Ovis aries: one gene and its partners. The protein of the gene in region 1 interacts with the protein of each later gene in a pairwise test. Links are inferred from orthologs where the notes say so. Each region holds a gene or a part of one and is shown in the gene's direction. Other genes may lie near its edges.

The links.
Region 2: the proteins of USP2 (region 1) and LHX4 interact in binary tests that used the Homo sapiens proteins (3 or more experiments, as listed by UniProt). The two-hybrid records come from large-scale screens. The link is inferred for Ovis aries from reciprocal best matches to the Homo sapiens genes USP2 and LHX4.
Region 3: the proteins of USP2 (region 1) and CCDC136 interact in binary tests that used the Homo sapiens proteins (3 or more experiments, as listed by UniProt). The two-hybrid records come from large-scale screens. The link is inferred for Ovis aries from reciprocal best matches to the Homo sapiens genes USP2 and CCDC136.

Annotation. Positions count from the first base shown.
Region 1 is NC_056068.1:29,666,894-29,675,063, reverse strand, and holds the start of USP2 (ubiquitin carboxyl-terminal hydrolase 2), read left to right. Parts: upstream 1-3,340; 5' UTR 3,341-3,478; intron 3,479-4,373; exon of another isoform or gene 4,374-4,526; intron 4,527-4,611; exon of another isoform or gene 4,612-4,675; intron 4,676-5,502; exon of another isoform or gene 5,503-8,170. UniProt on the Homo sapiens protein: Hydrolase that deubiquitinates polyubiquitinated target proteins such as MDM2, MDM4 and CCND1. Isoform 1 and isoform 4 possess both ubiquitin-specific peptidase and isopeptidase activities.
Region 2 is NC_056065.1:60,846,586-60,854,062, forward strand, and holds part of LHX4 (LIM/homeobox protein Lhx4), read left to right. Parts: intron 1-3,338; coding exon 3,339-3,493; intron 3,494-3,880; coding exon 3,881-4,052; intron 4,053-6,196; coding exon 6,197-6,591; 3' UTR 6,592-7,477. UniProt on the Homo sapiens protein: May play a critical role in the development of respiratory control mechanisms and in the normal growth and maturation of the lung. Binds preferentially to methylated DNA.
Region 3 is NC_056057.1:94,475,573-94,483,049, forward strand, and holds part of CCDC136 (coiled-coil domain-containing protein 136), read left to right. Parts: intron 1-922; coding exon 923-1,117; intron 1,118-1,561; coding exon 1,562-1,789; intron 1,790-3,199; coding exon 3,200-3,709; intron 3,710-4,086; coding exon 4,087-4,314; intron 4,315-5,399; coding exon 5,400-5,681; intron 5,682-6,393; coding exon 6,394-6,678; intron 6,679-7,477. UniProt on the Homo sapiens protein: May play a role in acrosome formation in spermatogenesis and in fertilization.

The DNA of each region.
Region 1 (8,170 bases):
ACTCTGTGTCTGGAAATTCTTTTCCAACCCAGGCTCAGACTGCCATGACATACAGTGGTTTTGGGGACTCTGTTAAAGCAAAAATCAGATCTACGTCCCTCCTCTGTTCAGTGGCTCCTATCTCAAAGTAAAAGTTCAGTTCAGTTCAGTTCGTGTCCGATTCTTTGCGACACTATGGACTGCAGCACATCAGGCTTCCCTGTCCATCACCAACTCCCGGCGCTTACTCAAACTCATATCTATCAAGTCGGGGATGCCATCCAACCATCTCATCCTCTGTCATCCCTTTCTCCTCCTGCCTTCATTCTTTCCCAGCATCAGGCTCTTTTCCAGTGAGTCAGTTCTTCGCATTAGGTGGCCAAAGTATTGGAGTTCCAGCTTCAGCGTCAGTCCTCCCAATGAATATTCAGGACTGATTTCCTTTAGGATTGACTGCTTTGATCTCCTTGCAGTCCAAGGGACTCTCAAGAGTCTTTTTCAACATCACAGTTCAAAAGTATCAAATCTTTGGCACTCGGCTTTCTTTATAGTCCAACTCTCACATCCATACATGACTACTAGAAATCTTTCCAGTAAAAGTTAAAGTCACTGAAATGCTCTTAGGATCCAACAAGGGTGTTCCCTTATCTCTTTGACTTTGTCTTCCTGTCTCTAGCTTGTCCTCTTTCACTCCAACCGCACTGATCTTCATTCTCTTCCTCAAAGGTGGCCTACCTCAGGACATCTGCATTACTGTTCCCTCTGTTTCGAATACTCTCTGCCCAGACATCCAGATGGCTCACTCCCTTAGCTCCTTTGGGTTATCCAAAGTCACTTTATCATTGGGACCATCTCTGATATCACTTGACACACTGTATCATCCTCCCTGTTTTATTTGCCTCTATCACTCTGAATGCCATCCAATACTATATAGTTTACTTATTTCCTTATTGTCTTCTACTTCTACAAAATGTAAGCTCCTTAAAGGCAAAGACTTCGCCTGTTTTGTTCACTGCTGTATCCCCACTTCCAAGAAGATTACCCAGCATGTCCAGTAGCTATCCCTAAAATGCAATGGAATGAGGGTCCTAAGGTAAACAGAGTAGGCGGTCCCTGGAGAAAGAGAACTAGGTATTGCTTTCTTGACAGAGGAGAAGCCATTTTTGGCTGAAGCTGTTTTGTCATCTAAGCCTGGCCTCAGTGGCAGATCTTGAACAGGTCTCAGTGACCAACGACCTTAAGTGAAGGGAAAGAATGCAGAAATAAAGGAAAACCAGTCAAGAAACAATTGCTCAGTTAAGTAATAGTAAACAATAGTTTAATAAAAAGAGTCCTAGTTCTTCCTCAAGGGATACACATAAGAATCTGATGTCAGTCTTTTCGTTCAGCTGGATCTAAGAGCCTCACCAAGGTGGAGGATGATAACTATCTGCTGAGACCCTAGACAGGTCTGAATCTAGGGAATGATGCTGACCTTTTCCAACACTCTGACTTCAATCAACTAAGGTGAAGTCACTCAGTCGTGTCTGACTCTTTGCAACCCCGTGGACTGTAGCCCACCAAGCTCCTCTGTCTGTGGGATTCTCCAGGCAACAGTACTGGAGTGGGTTGCCATTTCCTTCAATCAACTAAAGCCCTCTGTTAAAAAGCAGAGACATCACTTTGCTGACAAATTCCATCTAGTCAAGGCTATGGTTTTTCCAGTAGTCATATATGGATGTGAGAGTTGGACTATAAAGAAAGCTGAGGGCCAACAAATTGATGATTTTGAACTGTGGTGTTGGAGAAGACTCTTGAGTCCCTTGGACTGCAAGGAGATCAAAGCAGTCAATCCTAAAGGAAATCAGTCCTGACTATTCATTGGAAGGACTGATGCTGAAGCTGGAACTCCAATACTTTGTCCACCTAATGCGAAGAACTGACTCACTGAAAAAGAGCCTGATGCTAGGAAAGAATGAAGGCAGGAGGAGAAAGGGATGACAGATGAGATGGTTGGATGGCATCCCCGACTCAATGGACATGAGTTTGAGCAAGCTCCAGGAGTTGGTGAATGACAGGGAAGTCTGGTGTGCTGCAGTCCATGGGGTTGCAGAGTCAGTGACTGAGGGACTGAACCAAACTGAAGGCTGTTAACCTTTGATCCAATTCTATGTGGAATTCCGTTTAAGCCCCTTCATGAATATGCATACACTGCTCAATCCCTCATGAATATGCATGTACCCTTAGCTTAAAACTTCCCCAATTTTGCTATTCAGGGAGACACTGCTTGGGGAAAGATCCCATCTACTCTCCTCCCTTGCTGCAAGTAATAAATTCTTCCTTCTCCAGATCTTTTGACTTGGTTGTCTTTTGGCTTGACACCCACCAAAAGGGGAACCCGGTTTGAGGGTAACAATAGGAAACACAAGAGCTGCGATCTGGAAGGTATTTGTCTTGCACAAGAGGGACACAGCTCTCACCGCTCCTGGAGCAGAGGTAAGAATGAATTCAGCTATGTTTGTAGGCAGAACTTTAAGGATTTCCCTCCTGATTGCCTCCAGTTCCTCAGGGAAATAGAAGACAAGGAGGGACTTGGGAGAGTGGTAATGGACAAATGCCAGCTGCAGAGAACAAGAGAAGCAGCTAAGGACACTTGGAAGGACTGACGGTCCAGGTGAAACTGAAAACCTTGGACTTGCCTTGGCACCAATCTACCTGGCCGTGTGGTTTTCTTCACAGTAGAGGAAAGGGGGGAAAGTTATATACAAAGAATGGAAGTGACCCAAAAAATCAAGTTTCCTTTGGCTTTTTCTTGAAAGACAAAAAGAGAATCTCTTCTACTGACCCAGTGCCACCGTTTTACCCACTTCAGAAAACACCACCAGTCACTCGTCTCATGTTAGTAAAATAAGCAGAGAGTGTCTTAAAGAGTAGAGAAGGGAAGAGCCAGAAGAACTGGCCCTCTCCCAGTCGGGTGGGAAGGAGCTGGAACATTTAGCCTTCCCTAAAATCTGAAAGCTGATATGTACGCCCTGGGGTTCAACGCTGAGCCTTCTCCCCGTGACCCTTCCTCTTTCCCAATACCTTCCAGCTGTCCCGTCGTGTCATATTCAGGCCCACTTCAGGTACTCCAACCACCCCTTCCAAGCTCGCGTGCCTTTTCTCCACGTGGTTCTCTGTATATGTCGGTCGCCTGGGAGATCCTGGTCGGGCGGGGCTCTGATGACGTCATAATAGGAACAAGCCAATCGCCGTGACGCGTCTCAGTGACGCTAGACGCGAGGTGTGGCTTTGCCGGCCCCGGGCGCAATGAGGCGGCAGCCCGCTGGGTGGCGCCGATTTCCCGGGGAGGTCCTCTCTGGGCCCCCGGCGGAGGTGGGGTAGAGGCGGGCAAGAGCCGAGGCCAGGGAGCCCTCTGCGTCAGCGGCTGTTTACTGCGCCGCTCCAGTACCAGCCGGGACTCATCGGTAGCTCCATGCTTGTGCCCGGCTCGACTCATCCATCCTCAGAGAATAGGCAGGTACGTGCCACCTGTCGGAGACTGGGGAAGAGGGGATACGGAGGGCAGTGCCGTGTGAGGCTCTGAGAGTGAGGTGTCAACGACCGCCTGGGCAAAATGGGCACTAGAAATGTAGGGCAAGTGCCAGCTGCGCTGAGGATCTCCAGCTGTGGGTGCCAGTTGTGTGTGTGAGCCGACAGCTCAGGGTGCCAGGGAGAGCCATCTGTGTGCTGATCAGTGTGTTCTCAGGAAACGCTGCTTGGGCAGGACCGCATCTCCGAGCCCTGTGTGGGATGTGGCGGAGAGTGACGCCTGGGCCCTGGCAAACCCCTCCCCACGTGTGCGTGGCAGCCTTCTTACTCCCTCCTCTCAAAGCTCCTGGGGGCTTGTCTCTGATCAGTTTGCCAAAGAGGGGTAGGGGTGGGGGGGAGGGTAGTAGTTAAGTGGAAAAGGGGTAGATTTTCCACCAATCCCAAACAAGAAAGAGGCATCTTTGAAATTCTCACCAATCCCAAACCAGAATCAGGCACGCGATGCTCCAAGGCAAGTAACTTATACTCAACAGCCTAAGGAAGCCCATTCTGGCTGTCCTCTAAGGAGGAGCATCTACCTCCTGACCTGGCCGCTCTTAGAATGGAACTGAGCTGGAGATCCTGCCCATGCTCATCTCCCCAGGCACAGGCAGGAATAGGTCCCCAGAGTCCGACATGTACAGTGGAGGAAAGGAGAGCTGGTTGGGCTGGGGTTGGAGCAGCCACCATTCCTTTGATGCTGTAGATGATGCCAGACTGGAGTCGGAATGAGGACTGGAATGAGGGCTGGGGACGAGGGCGTCCTCTGAAGTGCATCATCAGGACCTGAGCTGAGTCAGTAGTCTCTGCTGAGACAGGGTGGAGGCACCATCCCGGGTACTCCCAGTCCTCAGGGACAGCCATCGAGAAACAGGAGGAACAGCTGGGAGCTGACAAGAGCACCAAGGTCCGAGAGGTTCAGAATCCTGCACCTTCCTCCTGTGACCCTGCCCAGCCAGCCTGGCTCTGTAGGCTCGGGATCCTGAACACTCCTCCAGGTAGAGTGGAACCACTCCAGAGCAGCCAGGCTTGCTCCTGGTAGCCTGGGGGAAGCTACACTTGCTATATATTTTTCTAGGTAGAGAAGGAAAGAGCCCAAGTGGGCCTGGCCCTCCTCTGATGGGTGGACTGCACATCTGGGAATAGGGTAAGCCTCATTTGCCTTGCCAGCTATGGGACACGGATCAGCTCGGAAAACCATGGCAGTTTTCTGACATGAGAACAGGGCACTCCCACGGGGTGGCCTGGAGGAACCTTTTCTCACTAGCAAGGTTCACCTGACAAATGCTACCACTAATTAGAAGTGGAAGTATTTGATCTAGTAGTGATTATCATTTATTGAACTCTTACTATGTGCCAGGAAATTAACAAGCATTATTTAATCCTCACCTCCATGAGGTATATCATTATTATTACTCCTGTTTTAAGACTAAATAAGGTTTGGACCACTTAAATGACCGCTTAAATGTCTCTGAGGCAATAAAAAGGAAAGACTTGGAATACAAGCCCAAGCCTAGAAGTCCATTATAAAAGAGCTTGAACTGGAAACCTGAGAGAGGTCCCTTCTGCCTCTCCCTGCTTCTGTGTCCTTGAGGGAGCTGCTGTCTGCCTCCAGGTCTCCTCCATCTCAGAGCTAAAGGAGGTGGACTGGGGCTTCTTTCTCTTCTCTACTTCTGTGACTGACACCTCCTTCTCCATATTTTTGCCTAATTCCACCCCCATCCCTCTACCCTCTTTCCAGTTCTGCTTCCCCTTGAATCCCCCTTCTGTTCCATTTCAAAATGCTCCCTGCAAACAGTCTCCCAGGATCTCCTTGCCTGGCACCCACCTCGAGAGGGAGGGCCTGCCACTGCCCCTTTAATTCTCCCTGGGCTCAGAATGCCAGCGAGTGGAGCTAGCCATCTCCATGAGGTCAGATAAGATACTATATATATCGAGTCAGTAACCTGAGCCCCGGATTACCCGGCCCAAGTCAGACTCCTGCTTCTGGGCTCGCCACTGCACTCCCTGCCCTGCCGGGGAAGGAGAAGCCCCCAGATCCTGCCCAGTGTCCCCGGACACAGGTCGGTAACTGCTCCTTTGGTATCCGAAATTCACAGGGCCGTTGTCCCTAGGGCCCTGGACTGTCTGTTTGAGGGATCCCTGTCTGTTTGGGGGAGCATGTGAGAGGCCACCCCACCAGGCCTGGAGGTGCTATGGGCAAGACCCAGGGGCAGAACCAAGGGCTGGGAGGCCAGGAGGAGGAAGCTGAAGCCCTGGAGGAGAGGGAAGGAGCCTGGGGCTCTCCCCTGGGGTAGGGGTTCCAGGAGAGTGCCTGGGACAGTCGTGGTTAGAAAACAGAATTTAAGAATTCCAATACTGCCTGGGGGCCCCATATCTTTGCCTTTTCTTGGAGGTATAGAGATGCCAACCCCCTCCCAACCCAAATGAAGGAGAACCCTGAAGAGACACTGCGTTAAGCCCACCCACCTCTTCTCCTCCAGGCGGAATTCTGGTTTTAATCTCCAGTCTCTTTATTTTACCTCTTTTGCCCGTCCCAGCCCTTGAGTAACTGTTGGGATCTAGAGAAACTGAGAGGGACCCAATCCCCTTGATGACCCCCGGCCAAGGCCTATCAGGCACTAAACTGGTGGGTCAGAGGGTGCCAGCCCAAGAGGTAGAGCCGCTAGCTCCAGGCTGAGGCTCCTGGGCATCTGAGAGCAGTAAACAGAACTCCTGAACTGTGAGAGCACAAATATCCCCCACCCCAACCTCCCCCTCCGCCTACATGTTCCACTCCTGCCAGGACATCCCGCGACCTAGGGGATGACGCTTGTGTCTAGGCAGTGTCCCAGCAGCCGGGCTTGTGGGTGGGAAAGTGTAGATGGAGACAGGGCCCCTCTGTCAGCCCACTTTACCCTTCAAGGTCAGCCGTCTCAGTCAGTGCCTCATTCCGATGTTGTTAGCAAGCAGCTTTGGGAAGCTCTGAGGTCACCCCTGTGACGGTTCCCAAGCACCTGTGGGACTGCCTGGGATTCCCTACTCACCTACCTCAGACACAGATAGGAGGAAAGGGACTGAACCCCGCTGAGGTCTATGTCTGAAGCCCAGCTGGGGGCTTTCTATCCAGGCAGTGGCAAGGCCACAGAAGCTGGCATGCCTTCACCCCAGACAGCAGAGTGGATCTAGGCAGAGAGGGGCCATGAAGGCTCCTGGGATGTTGGGCATCACCCATCCCATACCCTGGGGGCCAAGAGTGCCTGGCATTCCTGGGGAGCAAGTCCCTCCCCTGGCTGGGCAGGTTAGGGAGCCCTTCACGTGAGCGGCAGGAAATGACAGTGGCTGATGTAATGCGCTAGTGGCCCCAGGAAGATAGGGTTCATTTTAAGCCCTGACTCACCTAGTCTGGGTACCCTGGGGAGTGGGCCAAGCTGCCGCAAGGGTAGGAGGCGGGGGACATGCAGGAGCTTGGCATCACGGGTGAAATGGAGGCCTCCTGGACCATCTCTCGGCAGATCAGCATTGTTCCGGGGCTCAGGTTGCGCCTGGCTTCGCTTTCATCTGCCTGCAGTGGAAACTCGAAAGGCAGCTCCTTTGGGAGTCTGTACCCGCCACGCTGTTTTGCCTAGACGGTGGACACCTGGACCCCCTCACCCCATGCTGCAGGAACCCCAGCCTGTGCCAGCTCAGGGAAAGGCCAGGGAAGAGAGAAGGGGGCGATGGGTTGGCTTCAAGGTAGGCGTTAGCAGACAGAGCCCAGGTAGGTCCCAGTCCCAGTGTGACCCTGGGGGAGCCACACCACCTCTCCAAACCCTAGCTTCCTCATCTGCACACGGGCATAATAATAGCACCTGTTGCTTAGGGCAGTCGTGAGGATTAACTGAGTGATTAATATGCGGTGTCCCAGAAGTCTTAGTGCTGATTTAAGCTTTAATAACTTCAGAAATATGAATGCTAAACGCTTCACTTGACTGTTTCACTATTTAAATTTCTTGTCTATTTGAATGAAAGTATTTTGAATTTCAATTTAATGTTTAAAAAAATTAAAACTTCAAATGATGTTTGTAAGCCAGGGGCGTTGGGAAGGCTGTCTCAGTGTTGGACTTTGGGCTGCTGAAAAAATGACAAGCTACCTAAGAAGTACCCAGTGGGATGCCTGGTCCAGGGGTGCTCTGTACCTGCTGGCGGGGCGATGGCCAATTGGTTCCCTCGTCCTTTCAGGAGGAGAAGTCCCTCCACACCTCCCAAGAAGGGAAAACTGAGTAAAGCAAGAGGGAAGAAAGGGAAGCATGGCAGAACAGGGAAGAGCCAAGAGCCCTGGCGAGCCTGCACAGACAAGGAGGCTGGCAGGAAGGCTGCCCCACTGTCCGAGGTGGCGGGCACCTGGGGAGGTGCTGCCTGGAACCGCATGCCTGTACTTGCCAGCTCTGGGTAAACAGTGAAAGGAGTCGGGCAGCAGGGGCCCCACGCTGGGCAGGGAGGGGCACGGGGGATCACAGCCAATCGGCTGGCCTCCCACTGCCCCATGAAAGAGCCATTCAGTTCAGGCCGTTCCTTTGGCAACGAGGAGACTCGCGGCCATGTGAGTGCCCGTCCTGTCCCTGTCTTGTGCCGCAGAGCTATAGCCAGGGCCCCGGTCTGCTTCCCCGCCCAGGGTGCCTCC
Region 2 (7,477 bases), on another chromosome or scaffold:
TCACTGACTCAGTGAGAATGGAGAACCCAGGTCTTCTGACCCCGAGAAAAGCCGTTTAGAATGGTCATGAGGATCATAGGCACATCAAGCTCTTGATAAACATCAGCTATTATTGTTGTTTTAAGAGAGAACTTCCTTGGATGGAAGGGAAGAAGATAGACATGGAGCAGACCCTCTTCAAAGGACACCAGTGTGAAGGGGCACAGAGAACTCAGGGGGCTGGAGGCAGCTGCCATTCCGCTTCCTGACTCTGGACAGGGGTGCTGGGCAGAGAATGGATGAGCCTGAGTGCTGGGAGAGGAGCAAACCATTTACGCTCAGTGCTGCTTCTGTGTTGGACTCTGGCTGAGAAGAGCCTTTGACTTACAGGCACCTGAGACTCAAAATCCGTTGAAGACAGTTGATTAGTCAGCTTGTTGTCCTGAACACTCTTTATACAAGTGTTTTTCAAAAAAATGTGTTTGAATATAAGCCACAGTAAGAAACTTGTTTTAACTCAGCACACACATTCATACACCTGACACTGATCAAGTTTCATGAAGCAACACTTGCCCTCATCTGCCTCATCCATCCCACCCCATCCCCCCCACCCCAGCCCAGCCCACCCCATCCCATCCATCCCACCCTAGCCCACCCCATCCCATCCATCCACCCCACCCCAGGCCACCCCACCCCACCCCACCCCATCCACCTCCCCTACCCCATCCCATCCATCCCACCCCAGCCCTCCCCATCCCCCCCCATCCCCCCCCATCCCATCACCCCACCCCAGCCCATCCATCCCACCCCAGCCCTCCCCATCCCCCCCACCCCATCCCACCCACCGCACCCCATCCCATCCATCCCATCCCAGCCCACCCCATCCCCCCACCCCACCACATCCCATCCAACCCCATCCCATCCACCCCATCCACCCCACCCTACCCCATCCCATCCCACCCACCCCACCCCACCCCATCCCACCCCATCCCATCCACCCCACCCCACCCCACCCATCCCACCCCAGCCCTCCCCATCCCCCCCACCACACCACATCCCATCCCACCCCACCCCATCCCACCTACCCCACCCCATCCCATCCACCCCACCCTACCCCATCCCATCCCACCCCATCCCATCCCATCCATCCCACCCCAGACCACCCCACCCCACCCCACCCCATCCACCTCCCCTACCCCATCCCATCTATCCCACCCCAGCCCATCCACCCCACCCCATCTGATCCCATCCAACCCCATCCCACCCACCCTACCACATCCCACCCACCCCATCCCATCCACCCCACCCTACCCCATCCCACCCCACCCCACCCCATCCCATCCCATCCCATCCATCCCACCCCAGGCCACCCCACCCCACCCCATCTACCTCCCCTACCCCATCCCATCCATCCCACCCCAGGCCACCCCACCCCACCCCATCCACCTCCCCTACCCCATCCCATCCATCCCACCCCAGCCCATCCACCCCACCCCATCTGATCCCATCCAACCCCATCCCACCCACCCCACCACATCCCACCCACCCCATCCCACCCACCCCACCCTACCCCATACCATCCCATCCATCCCACTCCAGGCCACCCCATCCTATCCTACCCCATCCCATCCAGCCCACCCCAGCCCACCCCATCCAGCCCACCCCAGCCCATCCATCCCACATCAGCCCTCCCCATCCCCCCCCACCCCACCACATCCCATCCACCCCACCCCACCCCATCCCATCCACCCCACCCTACCCCATCCCATCCCACCCCAGGCCACCCCACCCCACCCCATCCACCTCCCCTACCCCATCCCATCCATCCCACCCCAGCCCATCCACCCCACCCCATCCCACCCACCCCACCACATCCCATCCACCCCATCCCATCCCATCCATCCCACCCCAGGCCACCCCACCCCACCCCATCCCATCCCATCCCATCCATCCCACCCCAGGCCACCCCATCCCACCCCATCCCATCCCATCCATCCCACCCCAGGCCACCCCACCCCACCCCATCCCATCCCATCCCATCCATCCCACCCCAGGCCACCCCATCCCACCCCATCCCATCCCACTCATCCCACCCCATCCTATCCCACCCTACCCCACCCTACCCCATCCTATCCCACCCTACCGCACCCTACCCCATCCTATCCCATCCCATCTCACCCCAACCCCTTCCCACCCACCCCACCCATCCCATCCCATCCCATCCTATCCTATCCCATCCCATCCCATCAATCCCATCCCATCCCATCCCATTCCCCCCACCCCATCCCATCCCATCCCATCCCATCCATCCCACTCCAGGCCACCCATCCCACCCCATCCCACACACCTCACCCCATCCCATCCACCCCACCCCACCCCACCCCACCCCATCCTATCTACCCCATCCCACCCACCCCACCCCCCCCCACCCCACCCACCCCACCCCACCCCACCCCCCCACCCCACCCTACCCCCCCACCCCCACGCCACCCCCCCCACCCCCCCCCCCCATCCCATCCCACCCCACCCACCCTACCCCATCCCATCCCACCCCACCCACCCTACCCCATCCCATCCCACCCACCCTACCCCATCCCATCCCACCCCACCCTACCCCCCATCCCATCCCACCCCACCCTACCCCCCGGTCCCATCCATCCATCCCACCTCACCCCATCCTATCCCACCCAATCCCATCCCATCCCATCCCATCCCATCCCATCCCATCCCATCTCATCTCATTTCATGTTATCCATCTTGTTTGCTCTTTTAGTTTTTGATCAACTAAATTGACTTTACAACCCACTTTTGGGTTCTGACCCATAATTTATGAACATTGCTTAGGTGAATAGTAAATGGACACGTCACCTTTGCTGTGAGCCCAGGGCTGTGGAAAGGCAATGAGATCATGGGTGGGACCTGGGGGAATGGAGGCTTCTGATGGGAGGAGGGACAGGTATCTGGGGCAGCCCAGGGCAAAGACTTCCTTCTGTCTCCTTCCCCTCTGCAGCCTTGGCAGTAACTCACGAGGTTGGCCAGTGGAGTGTGCCATGATGGGGAAACATGTAGAATGGTACGCCTTCAGTCTGATGAGAGCCCCGTGTGGCTGGGCTGGGAAGGAATGGGGAGAGGCAGGGAGCTGAGGGAACAGCATATTGTCCTACCTTTTCAGTGACTCGGGAAGGCCTGTAGTGCAGGAGTGGGCTCCATGTGGATCAAGAATACTCTCCCCTGACATTCCCCATTCTTCCTCCCTCTTGCCCATAGCAGGCAAGATTACATGAGGAAAGGAGGAAGGAGGGGTGAGACCCAGCTGCTTCAGATGGGCTGGACACAGTAAGAAGTGGTTTTCGTTGCAGATGACTCAGAGGCTGGAGCTAAGCGGCCCCGGACCACCATCACAGCGAAGCAGCTGGAGACTCTGAAGAACGCCTATAAGAACTCCCCTAAGCCTGCCCGGCACGTGAGGGAGCAGCTGTCCTCGGAGACAGGCCTGGACATGAGGGTTGTACAGGTGAGGCTCCAGCCACCCCGACCCATGGGGGCGACTTTGCTGACCGGGGGTCCCAGGCCGGGCACCACCTAGTGCCAGGTCTGGCGTGGGGGCGGAGGGTGTCCTGTGGGTCCCCACATCCGCGCGTCCACAGGAGGACGGCTCCAGGTAACCATGGCGCCTCACAGTGCTGTCCCTGATCCCCTCGGGGCGCTGGGCTCAGGGCCATGGCCCAGGAAATCTGCTGAACCAGAGATGTCTGAGGCCCAGGCCAGGGGAAGCGATGGGCACAACCCGCTCCTCACCCATCTGCTGGGCTTCAGCCTCTGTCTCTGGGCTCGGGGACCCCTGGGGCTTTGGGCTCATGGCGGACACCCCCAAAGTGTGTCCCTTTGCTTGTTGTGGTAGGTTTGGTTTCAGAACAGAAGGGCCAAGGAGAAGCGACTGAAGAAGGATGCGGGGCGGCACCGCTGGGGGCAGTTCTACAAGAGTGTCAAGAGGAGCCGCGCAGGCAGCAAGCAGGAGAAGGAGAGCTCTGCGGAGGACTGTGGGGTTAGTGACAGTGAGCTGAGCTTCCGAGGTGAGCAGGGCTGGAGGGGCGAGGCCGAGGCCCTAGGAGAGGCCCCTAGGAAACAGTGACCCCCGACAGGCAGGAGGGGTCTTTCTGGCGGCTTTGCCAGCTCTCTCCTGAACACAGGCCCCACCCTGTGACTTGGAGTAAAGGGTGGGGGGACATGGCCGTGGCCTTTCAGAGGGGACAGGGCAGAGGAAACCAGAGCTCTGCTGCTGACCCATGGAAGCTGGGCTCCCAGGCCTGCAGGCCCGAAGGCCTCCCCTCCTTGCCCGCTGCCCGGGGCTCCCTCATCAGCCCACACAGCTGCAAAGGACCCCTATGTCTCAGTCTGTGCCCCAAGCCCCTCTCCAGCATTTCTCCCCTCAATGGGGTTAGTGGCCTTCCTCCCGTGACCCCCTAGAGTGAGCCCTCTTTTCTGCTGGTGGTGGGAGGATGTGCGTCACAGCCCTTGGCCCTGGGGAGTCAGTACTGCGAGTGCATGTGAGGTGGGGGCTGGCCTCATTCTGAAATCCCTTCCCCCAGCGCTCACTCCGTCTTGTCCCCAGCACATATGCTTTGCTGCATGTGCTACATTCAAATTTTGTGCATCAGCAGAATTGCAAATGGATGCATGTTTTGGATCCTTTAGTTGTTTGCAAATAGCCGTTCTCTTGTATTGAGTCCTCAAATGTGGAAGGTCTTCTGTTGTGGCAGGAGAAGGGAAGAGGCCTGAGCTGGGGGAATCAGAAATCTGGTTTCCAGTTGTGGCTCTGTCCAATTGATTTACTTTTCCTGAGCCTTACCCATCTCTAAATGGGTATAACAGTATCCTTGCCCATATCCCAGTGGTCTTGTGGGAATCCGTGAATACAACTGACTGTGGATGCCTTTGGAGAGAGCTCAGCACATTTTTACACTTGGAAGACACAACCATTCTTAGGAAGCTTGTGGTTCCCACAGAGGGCCCTGGTCACTGGGGATGACAGGTGTAGGCAAAATGCCAGTTAATGGCCATTTTACAGTGTAGCTGAGCCTTCATCTCCTGCCCCCTTTAAAGGGCATGACTCTCCTCCACCTTTTCATTTTCATGGATGGGATGTGGGACAGCCTAGGGCAGGTTGTCAGAAGGGATAAGTGTTGAACTCCACTCTGGGGTGGCCTTGGTAGGAATGGACACACAGGCCCAGTGGGAATAGAAAGTAAGTCTGTGGGGCAGCAGATGGCAAGAGCTGCCTGAGAGGACCATGATTTCTTGAGAGGACCGTAAGTCAGCCCAAAGGTCTGCCCATGAGGCCTGGGGCATGTTCCAGACTCACCTTCCAGGCCTCTTTGGTGGGGACATGGGGGTGGAAAGCCATTCAATCTCCTCTAAGATGCTGAAATCAACATCTGGAACACACAGGATTATCAAGTCTTATTTTGTAGCTCCTTTCTGTTGGGTGCAGGTGGGCCCCCAGGTTGACATATCACTGGTCTCTCCACATAACTATATAATCTTATTTTTCTTAAGACTAAAATTGTTCACCTCTGTTGGAGAGATGAATTCTTCCAGGTGGCAAAGATACCACGAGATCCCGTTAATGAAATTCATCAAGAAACAAGAAGGTCCATTTGCCTTAATCAATCCAATGCTTTGTCCGCAGTGAAGAACTTAGAGAAACCAAGTCCTTTGATACTGAACCTCTTTCCCAGGTAGAGCAGAAAGCTTTCGTATATACATGTCATGAGTCCTCAGCTCCCTTGACCCTACGGCCCTGCTTGTTTCCCTACAACTGAATCAAGCACTTTTCTCAGCTTGAAAGCTTTCAGATGAAATCCTGTTAGCACGGAGTTTCTTCCATTTGTGCTGCGGATGACATGTGATACAGCAAACCTCAGGCATTCATACTCCATAGCCGTTAGTGTAGCCCTCTTCATACATGACCCACCTGAGACCAACAAGCTCACGGAACATTTGTCCAGCCTCCTGGGACCTGGGCGTGTGGTCTCTGGAGGTGTTTGTTCTGTTTCTCCCCTTGACGTGGGTCAGGGTCTGGATGCCAGGCTGACAGGTTGGTGTCTGGTTCATGCTCGGGCTTCTTTCCTGGTCATGTGTATCCCTAGGTTGTGAAGATCAGGGGAGCACTGGAGTCCTGGTGGCTGACAATAAATCTCCGTTCTTTTGTCCACAGAGGATCAGATTCTCTCAGAACTTGGCCACACCAATAGGATTTATGGCAACGTGGGGGACGTTTCAGGCGGACAGTTAATGAATGGGAGCTTCTCCATGGACGGGACAGGACAATCCTATCAGGACTTGAGGGATGGGAGCCCCTATGGAATCCCCCAGTCTCCATCCTCCATCTCGTCCCTGCCATCCCACGCTCCTTTGCTCAATGGGCTGGATTACACGGTGGACAGTAACTTGGGCATCATTGCGCATGCAGGGCAGGGAGTAAGCCAGACGCTGAGAGCCATGGCTGGGGGACCCACCTCTGACATCTCCACAGGAAGCAGTGTAGGCTACCCCGACTTTCCGACTAGCCCGGCCTCTTGGCTCGATGAAATGGATCATCCTCCTTTTTAAACACTTCTCCCCACCCTACCTGTCCTCTGGCTTGAGAGAATATCTTCAAGGATTGAAAGACACCTGCCTTTTAAGGATCGAAAGTGCGCCAATGTGAATTTCCATTATTTTCAATGGAAGTCCTCTGCTGATCCCGGGGAGGTCGCGGCAGGACCCCACTGGGGCTGGCTTTCCTGGGAAGCGGTGGGAGAGCAGCCGCCTCTCAGAACACAGCACAGGGGTGCAGAGCCCAGAGCGCTAGGGTGCCGGCTGGTCGGCTCCTCCCTGCCCCCGTCCTGCTTACAAGCTTTGGCTGCTCAGTGCTTGGTTGATGGGTGACTGTGTCAGGCCACCTAAGCCTTCGGGAACTCTGCTCCAACTGGAGAGTCTTGTGAGATGTCTCCCGAACCACTGCTCTCACCAGAACTGAGATTCCCAAGGTGGAGGCCTCATGGCCCTTGAGTATCGATAAAAGTGATTTCTGGACCACCCTTACTTAACCCCAATTTTCAAAATTAAAAAAGAAAGTCACTTATTAAAGATCAGTGGAAAACTTTGATGACCACAGTTTGATGTTGAAAACATGCTCCCTCCTCTTTTTTTTTTTTTGCTGTGAAAAATATGACTTTTTCCCTACCCAGAACTACACGCCAGAGACAATTTTGTCAGTTTTGGTGTTTATGAAATTCCATCCCAATCACTGAATCGCTGATGGCAAGAAGTGGTTTTTATTGCAGGTGACTCTGAGGCTGGAGCCGAGTGGCCCTGGACCATCCCAGCGACTGCCTGACAAGTCCCCCTGGTGCACAATGTGCCTTTTTAATTTGCTTGTATTATTTATTCCACAAGACAGGCTTTGGGTTCCAAAATGATCAAAGCTAAAATATGGAGAGAACAGAACGACAAT
Region 3 (7,477 bases), on another chromosome or scaffold:
TTCCTTCCTTTCCCTTTTCTCCATAGTGTGTAAAAGGCAAGTCATTATTGGTTAGCTTTATTGAGTACTTTCAGCTCCTGATCACTGACAGGAAATGGAAAAATGCCAACACATGATGCAAAATACTGCTTGAATACTCATTCGCTCCTGCTGCAGCATGCTGTGTCTCCAGGGGAAGGCCTTCCGAAGACACAGCGCTGGAGATGGTTTTTGGGCTGCCCTAGTAGTCCACCTGCCTTTCTACACCCAGGCTCACTTTCTCTCCTCCCGCCACACCGACTGCATTGAGAGGTCCAAGGGGTCCATATCCTGCTCATCACTTCCTCTACTAGGGGAGGGGACCATAGGAAGGGAGAAGGATGCTGGCACACAGAGCCGGTCTTTTCTCTAGTCCTAAAAGAGCATTGAGACTAGTCTAATATTAGAAGATTGGGTTTTTGGAATCATAGGATACTTTAGTCTTCTCAACCCCAGCTCAGCAATAGTTCATACTTCTCTAAAGATTCTTGAAGCTGATGATGAACACAAAAATGGGGGAAAATTAGGGTGAAAATACATCGTTATTGGTAAGGAACATAATCAGTTATAGAAACAACTGGAGAACTAGAATTCCCAGCACGGTGGGAAAATGGTCTTCACCAGAGGAAAGAAGCAGGAGGGAGGTAAGAAGGGAGGGGCATTGCCAACACTCTCTTGAAAACCACCCTCAGAGAGGACTAGTAGGCAAAATATCCAGCATGGCCAAACTTCAGCCCTGAGCGGCCTGCTGGGGTTCCCGTTCAGCATCTAGGCCTCTAGAGGGCACAGTGGAGCTTGGGGTGATTAGTCTAAGGTGACCACAGGGCAGGAGACTCTGGTGAATCACAGGACAGAACACAGGCGTGGTCCGCTGACCGCCCTGTGTGCCCTGCCCCGTCCACAGTGTGACGCGCTGCTCTTCAGACTGACAGAATTGCAGGAGAGTTACAAGGCCAGCCAGAAGGAGATGGCGCAGATGCAGATGGAGCAGTGCGAGCTCCTGGAGGAACAGAGGAGGATGCAGGAGGAGCAGGGCCAGCTACAAGAAGAGCTGCACAGGCTCACGTTCCCGCTCCCCAAGTCTGGTCTCTTCCACAAGGTAATGGCGGCCAGGGCGGCCGTCAGCTGTGAGGCCCTTCCCGGATGTGAGCGACCTGAGGAGAAGTGAAAGGGAGCAAATGGAACTTTGTCTTAACTCCTCACTTTCTCGCCAGTCTCCTCTCACAAAACTGCTCACAATAGCCGATTAGGGCTTTAAATCTTGAAATACATCCTCAACTCTGGAATCTGTCCAACGTTTTAGACATTTAGTCCATCTGGAGAAAATGTCCTTGAAATCACTTTATAAAAAGCAAAAGACATCCACCCACAGGAGGTCTTTACTCCTCCACTAGCAGGTCTGTGTAGAAAGACTCCCCTCCTGTCCCAGGTGGGCTGAGCAAAGCCAACTCCTTTGAGGGAAGGGTCCCCAGAGGGAAGGAGGCAGAGGTCTTTCCGTGTAACCATCACAGTGCCGCCCACTTCCTTCCGCTCCACCTCACAGAGTCAGGAGCTCCTCACAAAGTTACAGGACCTGTGTGAAGTGCAGATGCTCTACCAAGGCATGCAGGAGGAGCAGAAGAAACTGATACAGAACCAAGAGAACATAGTAAAAGAACAGTTAGAACTGCAAGGAGCCCTGCACCATTTCAAGGAGTCCAGCTTCCGGGAAGTGTTGGAGAATCCCGAGGATCCCAAATGGCCTAAGTCCTCAAAGTGTGGTCACAACAAGGTAACCATAGCAAGAGGTAGGGAGACAGTTCTGGGGGTAGCAGCATGCTAGGGAAAGGGGCTCCATAGCAGGGTCTGAGTTCCGAAGGCCAGGAGCAGAGAGGAAGCTAAAGCCCACTCATGGGCTCCTTAGTTAGGGCTGGCCTGAGCTGCTCCTCTGGATGGATGCCCAGCTGAAGCACTGTGATGACCAGGAAGTCTGTGATCTCCTGATCCTTTGAACTCAGTCTCTTTAATACCTCATTTTCCAGATGTAGTTGGAGGTAGATCAACCTAGTGTTTGGGTTCTTTAGGACTGACTCTAAACATGTCTTTTCCTCATGAGCTGGTTGATAATTGAGATGTTCGCTTTCCAGTGATCCAAATCTGTAACCTTTTGGTGTTCTACATGAGGCATATCTGGGGCCATTTGTTTCCAAGACAGAAATTCCCAGCATATGGGGTTCTTGGTACTGACCTCACTGTCTTCATTGGATTGGAACTTTGCAGCAGTAACAGCCAGGTCAGAGGCATTAGACTAGAGAATCCATGTGTCTCAAGCACCAGTGAGTGGTCAGGCCTCTGAGGTCATACTGGTGGAAATTTCTAAACAAGTGTGTTCAGGATTGGGAGATGCATTTGGTCTGAGGCCTCAGTGTAGGCAAGGAAGAGCAGGAAGACAGTTTCCATTTAAGTGAGATTGATTTGTCCAGATATTAGCCTAGACAGGCAGAGGTGCATGGAGCAGCAGAAGTCCAAACTGTGCAATTTGGTTGATCAGGTTCCAGGGGCATCCGATTTCAGCCTGGATAACAGAGACCAGGAACCAGACCAGGAAATAGCAAATATTTCCTTAACAGATCAGATCTCATCCTGGGCATCAGCTGCCAAGGAGCCAGGCCCAGAGGGCCCAGGAAGCATGCCAGAAGCCAGATTTGGAATTGAGGCAGGAGAGGGACTCATAGTGAGACCCTGATTGGAAGTCTGCATCTTCCAAGGGAGGAGTTCTTTGTACGCTCATGTTCGTGGCCAGGGGTGATTTTAGAATTGGGGGTGGAGGAGGGGACTGAGCCCCATAGATCAGGATAATAGGTCCACCTGACTAAGAAGAGAGAAGGGAGGCTGAGTGACCTTGAGACCCACTCAGTGCTACTCCAGGGAGAGAGGAGGTTACCAGAGCATAGAAGCCAGGGGAAGTGAGAGCCCAGAAATTGCAGAGTGTCTGCCCTAGGAAATTTTCTCCAGTGAGTAAGAAATTGAATCATGCCAGGTACCTGCAGGCTAAGTGGAAGTCCTGGGCCACGGTGAGCTGGGAGGGCCAGGTGTGCCATTCCTTGACCTGGGATCTCAGACATCCTCACCAGGAGGGGTTCCGCTGGAAGGATCGCAGCGTCTGAAGTAACGCTGGTGTCTCCCCACCCACTCCCGCCAGTCCAAGATGATCATCGCCCAGATGCAGGCCCTGCAGGAGCTGTACGAGGCCAGTGAGACCGAGCAGGAGCTGCTCCAGCAGGAGCAGGAGCGGCTTCTGGAGGAGCGGAAGAGGCTGCAGGCCGACCTGCAGCTCTGTCTGGAAGAAATGCAGCTGCTCCAAGACCAGTCCCCTGCAATCAAGATGAGCCTGGACTCCTACAGGAAGAGTTACGCGAGCACGACCACCAGCAACGAGAACTGCCACAAGAGCTGCAACCTCAATGACGATGAGGGCTACCAGAAGAGCTACGGCAGCAGCCAGGCCAGTGAAGAGAGCCTCCTCAAGAGCTACGAAAGCAGCACAGATGCCAGCGAGTCCTGTCAGCGGAGCTACCTCAGCAGCAGCAGCAGCAGCTCCGACACCTATAAGAGGAGCTATGGCAGCAGCAGCAGCAGCTCCGTCACCTGTCACAAGAGTTACGTCAGCAGCAGCATGGACGACGAGCTGGCCGAGCCTGGAGATGTGGAGGTAAAGGCAGTCAGGTGTCCGGTCAGACAGGGGACAATGGTTCTTGTCTCATTAGGAGAGGCCACGGGGAAGGGCCCGAGAGGTGAAGTGGGCAGCGGGCTCAGAGCTGAGCTGGGTGACCGTCAGGAAATGAATGAGGTGCTCTCCCCACTTCCTATGGAGATGCAGTTCCATCTGGACGGAAGTCTAAGATTCTGGACTTTTCATCAACACAGTCATGTGCTCTTCATGGGAAGAAATCCAGTGTTCTCCCCCTGGGCAGCTTCAGATCCTATCGGCCAGTGTTTTGTACCCATGAGAAAAAAGGGCCCAGCGAAGAGAGCGGGTGGAGGGCAGGGGCTCCTCAGGGTGCCCTCCTCACTCCTCGCCCTCCACAGCACCTTGAGGACGTGGTCGCCAAGGTGCTGATCAAGCTGCAGGGTGTGCAGGCCATGTACCAGCTCAGCCAGGAAGAGCACAAGCTGCTGCAGCAGCGGATGAAGAAGCTGCTGGATGAGCAGAAAGAGCTCAAGGAGGAGCTGGACGCCTGCGAGAAGGAATTCAAGGAGTGCATGGAAGGCCTTGAGAAGCCCGTCGCCTCCCAAAACGACAAGGACAAGAATGAGGTAACTGCTTTCAGCGAGGCAGGGCTTCTCATAGGTGTCCCCAGAACCCAAGGAGGTTGGAGTCCTTTCAGAGAGGCTGAGGGTGAGACGGGAGCTCACTGCTGACTCTGTTCAGGTGCCATCCTCCTGGTGGAGGGACGGAGTAGGGGCTGAACTCCAGGCAGCAGGGCAGTCTGCTGGGCCTCTGACAGGCATTTCTCAGGTGCCCGCTATTCTGGAATTTACTGATCATCAAGACCCCTTGAAATGATTTTTTTCCCGTCTGCCATTTTGTTCTCTCTTTTGTCCTAGAGCACTTCTGTAGAGTTGCATTTTCTTACCTGCCAATTTTCTTTAGTTAGTTTGTGTATATTCCACTTTGTCTCTTTAACTAGATTGTAAGCCCCTCAAGGACAGGGCCAGGTCTTTTGGATTTCTCATAATACCAAGCAGAGTGCTCTGCATCCCTAAGAATGGGATAGAGGGCATTGACTCTGACCAGGAGTAGTCCACTGTCCAGTGGGGGTCACTGTGCACATGGGAGAAGCTCAGAGAGCAGGAAACACATGGGCCTCAGTTGCTTAGTGTTGGTACCTGCCTCAGAGGCCACAGTGTGCTGCCAGAAGCCAGGAAGGACAAAAACCAGTGAGCAGTGAGCAGGGTTGGCGGTTGCCTTTGTTTCCAGGGCAAGGTGCAAGAGCCCAGTCCGGTCTCAGAATGATATGACGCAGTTCCTATAGTAATGATTGACCTGTGAGAGAAATAGCCTGAGCGAAGTAGGAGTTCCTATCAAAAACCACTAGGTAATCAAGCCCCATGGTTCAGTTAGCCCAGCAGTCATTCCCCCACCAGTTCATAGAAAAAGCGTAATTTAAGTCATCCTTTTTTTTTTAAATCACATTAGCTGTAAGTCAGGTGCCTCAAATTAGGGAGAACCTCTTTGTAAAACTGCTTTTGAGGCTAATTTCCCATGGTTTTCACTTTTTCTGTATTATCTGCCTCCCCCCGGGCTTTAGCAGGGAGATTCTGAGGCCAGGACCCCCAGGCAGGGGCCAGACTAATCACGTAGGCCCAGCTGCGGGTAATGGGCTCTCCACTACCAACAGATCAAGGAACTGCAGGCCAAGCTGCGGGAGCTGCAGCTGCAGTACCAGGCCAGCATGGATGAGCAGGGGCGGCTCCTGGCCGTGCAGGAGCAGCTGGAGGGGCAGCTACAGTGCTGCCAGGAAGAGCTCCGCCAGCTCAAAGAGAAGAAGTCCTCTGTTACCAAGGAAATCAGGGGCAAGAACGGCAACAAGAACATGAACAAGAACGCCAATGGGGTGAAAAATAAAAAGGTGGCCAAGCCAAGCGTAGAGAGTACTGAGAGCGGCCTTGAGACTACAAAGGTGAGTAGTAACCTTAGTAGTCAGACGAGTAGGAAGTTACCAGAGATCCTGGGAAGAAAATTCATCTCCATCACCGTTGTGACCAGATGAGGTCACTGTAGAGAAGCTTCTGGGGTCTCTTGTCTAGAGTAGATCCATCTTAGTAGTGGTTTGGTCCTCCCTTTTCTTGTGAGGTCAAGGGGAGGGTAGAATACGGACCACTCGGATCTGGAGCTCTAGCCCCCAGGCTGGATGACTGTTTCAGGTAGCCCAGTGCAATTTGTGGAGGGGTGGGAGGTGGTTTTCCTAGATCACATGCCCAAGAGAAGCACCAAATGGATGAAAAGAAAGGAATTTATTCAAAGCCCTGTGTACACATACGTGGAAGAGGATTGGATAAAATGGGAGCCACCATGCAAGGGTAGGAAACAGCAGTTGAGGTGTAGGATCTTTAGCTCTGAGAACTACAGGAAATGGCTAATGGCCGGATAGGTAGGTGTGGTCCTGGGTAGACATGTGGTCCCAGGTAGGTGTGTGGTCCCAGGTAGGTGTAGTACAGGCACAGAGAAGTTGGGTGTGGCTACCCTCCACATGGTGCACAGGGGCATCAGTTGGGTCCCGGGACACAGTACTGTGTACGCACCATGACACACCAGGAAGCACGTGTTCCCGAGGTGGTTGAGCATCATCGTGAAGGTCATAGCAGCATCCCCGGTCCTGCCCCCGCCCACAGAGTCTGGAGGTGGTGCTGTACTATAAGGCCAGCCACACATCCTTGGATGGTCCAACAAAGGAGGAGGAGAAAGAGGAAAAGAAGGAGGAAACAAAGGAGGAGTCCCAGGACAGAATGGTTTCTGAGCCATCAGGTCCTAAAGAGGTTAAGTTCAAAGACGATCAGGAGGAGAAAGACGAAGAGTTCCCCAACCAGGAGGGTAAGGACGAAGACGACCAGGAGGAGGAGGATGATGAAGAAGCTTCAGAGGAAAGCAACCCCCTCAAACTTTCTGAGAGCAAAAAGGTAACCATAGCTGAAGGCTAGATCGTGTGGGAAATGGGCTCTTGGTTGCAAGTGCCCAGTGTTTGGGGGTGGCCCAGCCCTTGGATGGACTTTGGCAGGAACAGAGGCCGGCAAGCTCTGAGGCACCACACTGGGGAAGTGGGAGTGGAGGTGGGGACCACATTTTCTGGGAACTGCAGTGTACTGGTTGGAGTCCCACCTTCTTTCATCTACAGGGTAGCCCTTGTTACTTCAGGAGGGTTCTTCACCCTCTGCTAGCGCTGTGCTGAGGACAGTGATGGCCATTTCTGTCAGCCGGGGCAAGTTATCCAGTCCTGATTTCCCAGGGTGCACCCCTAGGGCTGACTTCTATTGCCGTGAGGGGTGTGGAGAGGCTGGTGTGCCTCCTGGGTTCTATATAGTATTACAGGCATGAGGAAGGGGGTGGAGCCCATCAGAAGTGCTGGGACATTCCATCTGTACAGCAGGGCCGTTGGCCAATCTCAGGAGGCCAACCAGAGCCCTAACCCTCTAGTTACCAGATCTTGGGAGGTTGGAGGGGAGTGTCCTGGGTAACATACCAACAGAACAAAAGCATTTCTATATTTTAACAACTGGTACATCTATATAGGAACATACTAGCTGAATCTCTGCCCTGGTTGAAGTTAACTGGGGGCTCTGATTTCTGAAGGGTTTGATTAGTATCTGAAGAAGTCCTCAGTTTATAGTACTGATTCTTTTTGTCCCTTTGAACACAGGGTAGTAAGTCTCTTATGGTGGGATGTCCCAGTCAACTTGTAAGGTTTTCTGGAATTTTCTG